3 linked regions of the Cricetulus griseus genome follow. The protein of the gene in region 1 interacts with the protein of each later gene in a biochemical or structural test. Links are inferred from orthologs where the notes say so. Each region holds a gene or a part of one and is shown in the gene's direction. Other genes may lie near its edges.

The links.
Region 2: the proteins of Chek2 (region 1) and Ppp2r5a form a complex in vitro, tested with the Homo sapiens proteins (2 studies listed by BioGRID and IntAct, with this or other methods). The link is inferred for Cricetulus griseus from reciprocal best matches to the Homo sapiens genes CHEK2 and PPP2R5A.
Region 3: of the proteins of Chek2 (region 1) and Ppm1d, one has a biochemical effect on the other in vitro, tested with the Homo sapiens proteins (2 studies listed by BioGRID, with this or other methods). The link is inferred for Cricetulus griseus from reciprocal best matches to the Homo sapiens genes CHEK2 and PPM1D.

Annotation. Positions count from the first base shown.
Region 1 is NC_048597.1:90,646,602-90,650,253, forward strand, and holds part of Chek2 (serine/threonine-protein kinase Chk2), read left to right. Parts: intron 1-2,285; coding exon 2,286-2,372; intron 2,373-3,410; coding exon 3,411-3,574; intron 3,575-3,652. UniProt on the Homo sapiens protein: Serine/threonine-protein kinase which is required for checkpoint-mediated cell cycle arrest, activation of DNA repair and apoptosis in response to the presence of DNA double-strand breaks.
Region 2 is NC_048598.1:3,684,780-3,688,431, forward strand, and holds part of Ppp2r5a (serine/threonine-protein phosphatase 2A 56 kDa regulatory subunit alpha isoform), read left to right. Parts: intron 1-843; coding exon 844-936; intron 937-3,503; coding exon 3,504-3,634; intron 3,635-3,652. UniProt on the Homo sapiens protein: The B regulatory subunit might modulate substrate selectivity and catalytic activity, and might also direct the localization of the catalytic enzyme to a particular subcellular compartment.
Region 3 is NC_048600.1:98,581,513-98,585,164, forward strand, and holds part of Ppm1d (protein phosphatase 1D), read left to right. Parts: intron 1-24; coding exon 25-267; intron 268-3,652. UniProt on the Homo sapiens protein: Involved in the negative regulation of p53 expression. Required for the relief of p53-dependent checkpoint mediated cell cycle arrest.

The DNA of each region.
Region 1 (3,652 bases):
ATTTATTTATTTATCTATCAGGTATGCAGTGTTCTGCCTGCATGTATGCCTGCACACCAAAAGAGGGCACCAGATCTCATTACAGATGGTTGTGAGCCACCATGTGGTTATTGGGAATTGGACTCAGGACCTCTGGAAGGACTACTAGTATTCTTAATCTCTGAGCCATCTCTCCAGCATCTCCCACCCCCACCCCTTTTGAGATAGGGTCTCACATAGCATAGGCTGACCCTCTGTAGCTAAGCCTAGCTTTGAACTGATCTTTTTGCTGTCACCTCCCAAGGCTTAGATTACAGGCATGCACCACCCTGCTTAGCCTCACAGTTCAGTTTTCATGATGGCTGTGATCTGTGCAGGCTTGATACCTCATTAGTTTATTCATTTTCCTAGTATACTGGCCAACAACAAGATGAATTGTGCGAAGATCAGTTGATGTAGGACTCCCCTCCCCCCACCCCAGACAGGGTTTCTCTGTGTAGCTTTGGAACCTATCCTGGCACTCGCTCTGGAGACCAGGCTGGCCTTGAACTCACAGAGCTCCATCTGCCTCTGCCTCCCGAGTGCTGGGATTAAAGGGTGCCACCAACGTCCGGCTTTTTCTTTTTTTATTCTTAAAAGAAGTATGACCTGAATTGATATTTTGTTTGTTTTCATTTTTATACTCCATTTCCAACAAGATAACTAAAAACAAAAAACAAAAAACAAAATGGTAGTCAACTTTTGCACCTAGGAATAGATTAATAGACTATTCACTTGTTATTTTTAACCTTTACAGTGTTGGAGGTTGAGCCTAGTTCATGCTAGGCAAGTACTGTATCACTGAGCAGCTGTATCTCTAGCTTTCATGGTGTTTCTGCTTTTTTTTTTTTTTTTGTATAGGGATCTTAAAGCCAGTGCCTGCCTTGTGCTATGCAAGTGCCTTGCTCCTGAGATACGCTTCACGTTTCACATTTTCAAAAAAAAAAAAAAAAATCTCTGTAGTGTGTGTGTGTGTATGTGTATGTGTGTGTAGGTTACAGGCAACTTGCAGAAGTTTGCTTTCATTTCATCATGTGGGTTCTGGGGATTGAGGTTGTCTGTAGCATGATAAATAAAAGACCCAGAGACTGATATTGGGGTTCAAGTGTCAGTCTGATGATCAGAGAAGCAAAGCAGCCAGACACTAGCTTTTTCCTCTACCTCAGACCAAAGGGGCGATCCTCAGACTGCTCCCAATTTAATTGCTCCTCAGATTCACTCAAACTGCTCTTCTCAGTTTGGCTAGAGACTAACTCTCAGACTGAATGCCTCTGCCTTTTATATCTCTCAAATACTGGGATTAAAGGTGTGAACCCTGATTCACTCTGGTAGCCCTGTATGGTCTTGGACTCAGATATCCATCTGTCTTTGTCTCCTAAGTCCTGGGATTAAAGGTGTGTATCACCACTGCCTGATCTCTATAGTTTGAGGTTGCTTTGCTTTCTGCTTTCGGGAAAGCTTTAGTAAATCATAAATATATAGTTGTCAGGCTTGGTGGCAAGTGCCTTTACCTGCTGAGCATAACAAAATATATTATTTTGATGGAATTCCTATGAAATGTTATCATTCATTTAAATTTTTATGGAAATAAACAACTTGCATGTCTCTTAGAGTGAGGGGATTTTTTGTTTTCTGGCATTGTGAAATGCAAGGTTATGCTTTTTTTTTTTTTTTTTTTTTTTTTTTTTTTTTTTTTTGAGACAGGATTTCTCTGTGGCTTTGGAGGCTATCCTGGAACTAGCTCTTGTAGACCAAGCTGGTCTTGAACTCACAGAGATCCGTCTGCCTTTGCCTCCCTCTGCTGGGATTAGAGGTTAAGGTTATCCTTTTTAACGATTTTCTGGTGCTGGGTCTAGTGGTGTATACCTTTAATCCCAGCACGCAGGAGGTGGACCTCTGAGTTCAAGGCCAGCCAGGGCTACACAGAGAAACCCTGTCTAAAGCCCTGGTCCAGTGCTGACTTTAAGGAGTGAGCTGACTTTTTTTTTTTTTTTTTTTTTTTTAATTTATTTATTTATACAGCGTTCTGTCTGCATGTATCACTGCAGGCCAGAAGAGGGCACCAGATCTCATTGTAGATTGTTGTGAGCCACCATGTGGTTTCTGGGAATTGAACTCAGGGCCTCTGGAAGAGCAGCTAGTGTTCTTAACCACTGAGTCCTATGAGTTGACACATAATACTTAACTCAGGCTAGGAGTTAGGTGTTGGTAACTGTCCTCATGTGTGTGTGGTATAAATCAATGGCCCTGCCTCTCTTTTTGTACAGTACCTTCATGAAAATGGGATTATACACCGGGACTTAAAGCCAGAAAATGTTCTCTTGTCATCTCAAGAAGAGGACTGCCTTATCAAGGTGAAAACTTTTCATCCTTTCTGTTGCTACTGCTGCATATTTCTGTTCAAAACTGTCTTTTAATCTCTTACATAAAAAAAAAATAGGACTATCAAAAGGTTGAGAATATGAACTATCCATACTTAACAGTTACTGCTGAGATCACAAAGTATTCCACCCATCTGTTGAGCACTTACTGAGTGCCAGTGTATGCAAGCTGCTTTTATGTGCCGAGGGAGGAAAGAGTCTCAATGGACCAGTGAGCCATAGATCCCACCTTTCCTTCTCAGCCTAGCCTCACTTTAGAATCTCCCGTTAAAATAACAATACAAAACCCAACAAGAAGACCCCAAGACATAAAACATGAGGGTGACAACAGGTGCCCCTGCCCCTTAAGCTTTTCTGATGTTCCATGGTGTAGTCAAATTTAAGAGTCTTGGGTTTAAGAAATATGTGTTAGTATTAGAGTCCTAATGTGTTTGTGTCAGGGGTTATGCAGTTTTTATAAGTTTATAATGATGATAGGTAAACCTGTCCCGGCTCGTGGGTCCGGTAATTTGTGTGTCTGAGGTGGACTAAGCATGAAAATAAATGGGCGAGAAAGAGAAGCCAGACCAAGCAGTGTCCTTGTCAAGGTCTAATTTTATTGATTATAAACAAGGAGTTTTTAAAGAGAAGGAAGTAAAGAAAGAGGAAGTGGAGGAGGAATGGATGTTAATTGCTCTCAGGCCAGGGCAGGTGTCCCGGAACCTAAGGGGTGGGGTGCTTGACTAATTGGCGGTTTAGCATGGAGGTCGCCAGGCTTCTTGTAAAGGAGGACTTTTTTATGTCTAACCAGGGCTGGCTCCTGACAGGTAAATTGGAAAAAACTTTGGTTCTCAGGTTCTTAGGCCCAGGGATTTTCTTTTAAGCAAAATTAAATGCTTTGCAAAGACATGAAATTATACACTTTGGGTTAATGGAGAGTGTCTGTATAATAGGTAATCCAGTTTCCATGGCTCTTGGGAATGATTGACTATGATTATGTTTGAATTTCATTTGTTCCATTTATAATTTTAGATCACTGATTTTGGACAGTCTAAGATTTTGGGGGAGACTTCCCTGATGAGAACTTTATGTGGTACGCCCACATACCTGGCACCTGAGGTCCTTGTCTCCAATGGGACTGCTGGGTACAGCCGTGCTGTGGACTGCTGGAGCTTAGGAGTTATTCTTTTCATCTGGTAGGAAACATTTTCTTTGCTTCACAATCTGGTTGGATGAGGTTGGGTGAAACTGTATCTGTGTCCGGGTAGAGAGCT
Region 2 (3,652 bases), on another chromosome or scaffold:
TCTGTTCTCCAAGTGTACTGCTTTCCATTTTAATTTGCTGCTCTGCTTTTGTGTGTGTGTGTGTGTGTGTGTGTGTGTGTGTGTGTGTGTGTGTGTAAAACCTGTGGGAGTCTAGTTTTTTTATTTTTCCACCTTCTATCACATGGGTACTCAGGTCGCAGTTGACGGCAAGCACTGTTACCTGCTGAACCATCTTGCCAGATCCCCTACTCCAGTTTTATAGGAGACGTGATTTTTAAAACCGGTATGAGCACACTGCCTACTCATCGTGAGCCTGTGATTAGGCGACCCTAGGGGTGAAGTTGAGGTAGTCTGGTAGTATGGGGGAAGGAACCCTGATACCTTAGGGTCACTCTGACTGATGAGTGATGCACAGTGATGAACTGCGGCTGAGGAGACCCTGCCACTGTGATGACCACTCCATGACCGAGAGTGGTCTGGGAGCAGGGGAGAGTCCCCTGGCCTACAGGTTCACAGCAGTCTACCAAGGACTGGAGATGGGAACTGAGCAGAAACCATAGACACCGATTACTGGTTTGCTTTCTGACACATCCCAGGACCATCTGCCTGTGGGAGCCTGAGCCCTCCCACAGTAATCCAATGGAGGCATTTTTATGGATTGACTTCCCCTTCCCAGATAACTGTGGCTTGTCTCAAGTTGAAAAAAGCCAATCAGGACAAAAACCAAACTATAAAAGGTGTTTTTTTTTGTTGTTGTTGTTTTTTTTTTTTTAGAAACAATTGCCAACTCAAGCTGATCAGAGAGGTGTGTTTTTACTAAAGTGTTATTCAGGGTATGATTTTATAGGCATTATTTTGCTTTTATTTTACTTTCCTACACAGCTGGTATATGAATTCTTCTTGAGATTCTTGGAGAGCCCTGACTTCCAGCCCAGCATTGCAAAGCGATACATTGATCAGAAGTTTGTACAACAGGTAAGGGACTCCTAGATCTCAGATCTTCCTGTCCTAGCACTTGCTTTTTAAGACGAGTCCCTCAAAACATAAGTAACTTAAAAGTATTAGTAATTGTTCTTGACAAACAAAATAAGAGCAGCTTGAGGGGTTGGCAAGATGACTCGGGTCAAAGCCCCTCCTGCTTTTCCAGAGGCTCTGTGTTCAAGTCTCGGCATCCACACAGGGCCCCTCACAAAAGCCTGCTAACTCCAGTCTCAGGGGAGCAGGTGGTCTTCTGACCTGCACAGGTCACACTTTTTTTTTTTAAGTAGCTTTCAGAAATTAAGAGTTTTGTATCAAGAGTGAGCACCCAATGAAATCAAACTGCCCTTTCTGCAGTTTCTCAAAAGTTTGGGGTGACCATTTCATCTAAGGGTGTTTAACTTCTGTGTTAAACACCTGTGACTTCGAGCTGACAGGGAGGGATGATCTGAGTGCCTTTCTGGGTACCCAGCATCAGTCGCCTGTCATTCCTGTCCTAGCGCCACAGGGGAAATAAAATGGGACCAGTAAAGAGAGGAATGACTTCTTGGTTTTTAGAAACTGGTATTAACTCTAATTCCAGAACTTACATGCAATTAATTTCTGAGAATGTGTCCATTTGTTTTTATGGTCAAGAGCTTTTAAGACAGTTTTATAGCCTTTTAATCACTGAAATTGTCTGCCCCTAAACAGAACTGTAAAGTAACCCAAACCGTTTCTCTATCCATTTTCTCTTTTAAAGCCATTATCAGTTAGGAATTTGATGCTGAGGGCACATTTGAACTCTGTTATGAGGACCTTTCAGAGCACTGTCAGGTGTTCTGGATGTTAGAGTCCACATATTCAGAACTGTCCCTTCATAAATTACACAAGATTATGTGTTCTTTAACAGTACAATATACACTTCAGGCATGAATAAAATCAGCCAAATTAAAGTGGGGTCTTTGGGGCTATTGAAGAGGAAGGCACATTTATTTTCTTGTATGTTTCTCACGCACTCAGCACCTAGGGAAGCCACACACATTAAATAACAGCCTGGTGCTCTGGGCACTCAGAAAGCTGGGCTTTTCTGGGGTGTGAGGGGGAACCATTTCTACCTCTACCCCAAACTCTGTGGGAAGCCAAGACAATAATCTTACTCTGACAGGTCTGTGTGCTGCCTACAGTTGCCTCTGGGGGATTGGGGGCTGCGTCTGTAAACTGCTCTAGGAAAATTCTCAGCTTTTGAAAGTTTGAAAACTCAGAATGGGAGGCAGGACGCTGCATAATTTAAATTTGTTCAAATCAGAGAATCTCCAAAGAAAACTAAGATGTATTCATGGTTTTTTTGTGACATGGAACCTATCATTTGAATATGTCAAGCTTGTTGTAAAGAAAGCCCATATCCAGTGCCACACAGCTAGTAAATGGCAGAGTCTGGATTTGAACTAGAGCAGTGGTTTTCAACCTTCCTAATGCTGCGACAGTTTAATACAGTTCCCCAGGTTGTGCTGACTCCCAACCATAAAATGATTTCACTGCTGCTACTATTATGAATAACGTAACTATTTAGTATGTAGTACATCTGCTAGGAGACCTCAAGGGTGTCACGACCCATGCGTCGAGAATTGCTGAACTAGACCCTCCGAGCTTGATGAATTACTCTTAATAGTTTGAGGGCAACAGAGCCAGAAAAAGCGGGTTTCCTGATATGAATATGACATTTCTAATTGGATTTATTTAGTTATAAGAGTCTAGCTAACAAGCACCCTCAAACTTAGTATTTCCCTTAGAGATCAATCTATTTTGAACAAAATCATCTTTCAAGTAAACCAACATCAGAAACAGGAGGTTAAGGTTAAAATGAGAAGTTTAGGCATTTTTAACTATAATAACTTGGATCAGTGCTTCTGTTCCATAGGTATTTCTTGCTGTAGCCTCATGCAGTACTGTAATCTAGCCAAAAATGAGTGCAAACCACAAGCAAGTCATTTGTGTAGGGCACGTGAGTGTGACTTACCGCTACCTCAGAAATTCTACTTGGGTTTGAAATCTCCACATAATTAAGACAAAATGGAGTCAGAGCATCTGGTGAGAGCTTGTCACCTGTCTTGTAAAACCCAGCATCACAGTTCAGAATGTAAGGTTCCATGCAGTTTGATAGACCATGTGTCTTTGCATATGGGCTTGCTATTTGAGACAGTCTAACCACTGTGTAGGTCAGGCTGGCCTCCCAGGATGAGTACTTGGGAGGTAAAGGCAGAAGGATTACAAGTTCAACTAGCCTGGCCACATAATGGGTCGCTGTCTCAAAAAACATTTTTAAACATCTCTCAAATTTTCACACTAAAAATTAGGTTAGGAAAGAATTTTAAAGTCACTGGCAAGGTTAAAAAAAATCTTATTTTTATATTCTTTAAAATGACATAAAGACTGTATAAAGATGAATTTACTGAAAATATTCATGCTTGTTTTGGTTACTTGGCAGAATATTTAGAAAAATGTTAAATATTTCATTGGTTATAAAAAATAGCAGTTTTAGCTCGATTATTTTTTTAAAGTAATTTGTCAGATTTTTTTTCAAGCTCCTGGAGCTTTTTGATAGTGAAGATCCCAGAGAGCGCGACTTCCTGAAGACAGTCCTGCATCGGATTTATGGGAAGTTCCTGGGGCTGAGAGCGTTCATCAGGAAGCAGATTAACAACATCTTCCTCAGGTAAGCTCGCCATGGAGC
Region 3 (3,652 bases), on another chromosome or scaffold:
TTCTCCTTGTTCTTTTAAATATAGGGTGAGCATGGACAATCCTGTGCCAAAATGCTTGTGAACCGAGCCCTTGGCCGCTGGAGGCAGCGTATGCTCCGCGCAGATAACACGAGTGCCATTGTAATCTGCATCTCTCCAGGAGCAGACAATCAGGGGAACTTCACCAATGAAGATGAGCTCTTTCTGAACCTGACTGAGAGCCCTACTTACAACAGCCAAGAAACCTGTGTGATGACTCCTTCCCCAAGTTCTACACCTCCAGTCAAGGTATTCAGTGCTACAGGGTGTGTGTGTCTGTGTGTGTGTGTGTGTGTGTGTGTGTGTGTGTGTTCGCGCGTGCGTGCAAATTTGTAGTCTCCAGAGTCAACCTTGTGTTTTTCCTTAGATGCTGTTTAGTTTTCTGAGATGAGGTCTCATTGGAACCTGGAGCTCAACCAAGTAGTTTAGACTGACTGGTCAGCAAGTTTCAGGCTTTCGGTAAATCCCAGCCTGCAATTACAACTGTGTGCCATCATCCCTAGTTTTTTACAAGGGTTCTGAGGATCAAACTCAGGTCCTAATACTTACATAGGAAACACTTTACTCCCTGGGAGTTCTTCAGACCATTCTACAGTTTGAAAGTTATGTTAGTATTACATAAAATTTATGCTTAGAGTGTTTATTTTATTTTGAGTGTGTGCTTACTTTTCTATTGCTGATTAGACACCATGACCAAGACAACTTCTTTTTTTTTTTTTTTTTTTAGAAAAAGACTTATTTATTTATTATGGATACAATGTTCTGCCTGCATGTATCTCTGCAGGCCAGCAGAGGGCACCAGATCTCATTAAGGATGGTTGTGAGCCACCATGTGGTTGCTGGGAATTGAATTCAGGACCTCTGGAAGAGTAGCCAGTGCTCTTAACCTCTGAGCCATCTCTCTAGTCCCCCAAGACAACTTATAAAAGAAAGTGCTTAATTTGGGTTATGGATTTAGAGGATTAGAGTCCATGATGGTAGAGTGAAAGAACAGCTAAAAGCTCATTTTAATTTTTTAAGATTATTTCATTGAATGTATGTCTGGTGGCCTCAGAGGTTCTATAGAAGAAAACATTGAATTCCTTGGAGCTGGAAATATGGACAGTTGTGAGCTGCACTGTGGGTTTTGGGAATTTAACCTGGGTCTTCTGCAAAAGTAAGTTTTTTGTTTGTTTGTTTGTTTTCTTTGTTTTTTTCTTCGAGACAGGGTTTCTCTTGTTTTGGAGCCTGTCCTGGAACTCTCTCCGTAGACCAGGCTGGCCTTGAACTCACAGAGATACACCTGCCTCTGTCTCCCGAGTGCTGGGATTAAAGGCATGTGCCACCAAGGCCTGGCCCCAAATGCAAGTACTCTTAACTGCTGAGCCATTTGTCAGCCCTGAGAACTCACATCTTGATCCACGAAGAGGAGAGAGAGATATGAGAGAGAGTGGGGGGGGGTGGGGGGAGTACTGGGGGTCTCTCAAATCTTTTGAAACCTCAAAATCTGCCCTCAGTGACACACATTCCCCAGCAAGAGCATACTTCCCAAACAGTTCTACCAGTTGGAGACCAAGTATTCATTTGTTATATTTTGTTTTTTGAGACTGGGTTTCTCTGTGTCCTAGCTGTACTGGAACTCAATCTGTAGACCAGGCTGGCCTCGAACTCACAGAGGTCTGTCTGAGTCTGCTTCCAAAGGCCTGGGATTAAAGATATGAGCTACCACCTGGCTGTTTGTTTTTGAGACAAGGTCTCATGTATATATAGCCCATGGTGATCTCAGACTGGCTGTGTAGCTGAAGATGACCTTCAGATCCTGGTCCTCTTGCCTTGATCTCCCAAGTGCTTACATTTATCTACAATCATACCTGGTTAACTAAAACAGAACTTCAGATTTGAAGTAAGTTAAAAAAAATGATGGATCTTTGCTATATAATTGATTTCTTGGAAGAATTCCTTTCCCTCTGCCCAGATATGTAGCCAGGTCCTTGTAAATGCTGGGCACATTGTCACTAAACCATATCCTTGGTTCTTTAGAGAGCTGTCTTCATAAAGGACTAATTTGAAGTCAACTGTGTGTGAGTGTGTGTGTGTGTGTGTTTGTATCTTAATAGAAAAATGTTTGTGGACGATGATAAATGTTAACATGTAAAATTTATTGATCCCTTTTATGAACCTATGGACATTTGTAAAACTTTTGTAAATATGTGAGGCACTTAGATGCTTAATTGTTCATTTAAACCTATAATCCAGAGCTATCTTGATATGATCCATGTTATCAATAACAACACTGAGATTAAATATTTTGAGCAAAGTCATATAGAATCAAGATTGAACTGGTCCTTAGGATATTGGACCTTAGGCTTGCCTTTTTAAATTATCATGGGTAAGAAACAGTAATGTCTTATTTTAGTTGTTTGATTCATTATTTCAGGCCTCCAACCCAATCCTCCTACCTTTGTGCTTGGTTACAGGAGTATGCCACCATGCCTGACTATTCTTATTTTTTAGTGAAAATTAAAATGGAATGAGTTTAAGATGTGCTGAGCCAGAGCTAGAGAGAGATGGCTCAGTGATAAAGAGTGTTTAACTGCTGCTCACTTAGGGGCTTGAGTTTGATTTCCAACACCCATACCAGGCTGCTCAAAACCACATGTGACTCCAGCTCCAGTGGACCTGACACCTTGTTCTGGCCTCCTGTGTATCCACACCCATACATAAAAAGAAGTTAAGTCTTTTAATAAAAAGTATGCTGAGGAGCAAAGTTAAATGAGTACAATCTTTCTGTTTATTGACTTACTTAGAACTCAGTTTACCTGGCTTTGTGAGAGTTTATTTTTTAGGAGGTTGTCCACTAAAGTGGGAAATAAAGCAGCATGCTACGTCACCTATTAAGCAAATATAAAAAGTGTCAATGAGCTTTTTTAAAAATAGACTCTCTGTAGCCCAGGCTGGCCTTGAACTCCTGCTTCTCCTGATTCCCCCTCCCACATGTTGGGATTTCAGCCATGCTCTATCACACAGGCTTTAGAAGCACTTTTAATTTAGGTATTGTGGTCCTGCAAGTCAGTATCTGGGAGTTTATTATTACTGTTTTGCTACCTCTTCACACTTTAAGGTGAAGCATAGTATTTTATTACTAATTGACAATAATTTTTTGGGGGGTCTTATTTGCTTGCTTTTTTCACTAGGATAGAGTTGGGGTCTAGTGGATGCTACACAAGCACTCTACTGCTAAGTTATATTCCAGTTCATTGCTTTGGGATGGCCTTGAACTTAACGTATAGCCTAGGCTTACCTTGAACTTGCGGTTCTCCTGTCTTAGCCTCCTGAATAGCTATGTTTACAGGCTTGCTTTATAGTTTCAGCTAACTTACAACTTAGAAGTGAATTTTTTCTCATGTGTTAGGCATCAAACTCAGGGAAGCATTTTGCCACAGAGTTGCCATACTTATCCCTTACACTAATTTTCTTTTCTTTTTGTTTTTTGAGACAGGGTTTCTCTGGATAGCTCTGGCTTTCTGGACTTGCTTTGTAGACCAGCTGTCCTTGACCTCACAGAGATCTGTCTGCCTCTGTCTCCCAAATACTGTGATTAAACTCATACATCATCGTGCCCATCTTCTTTTTAAATTTATTGCTGTGTGGGTTG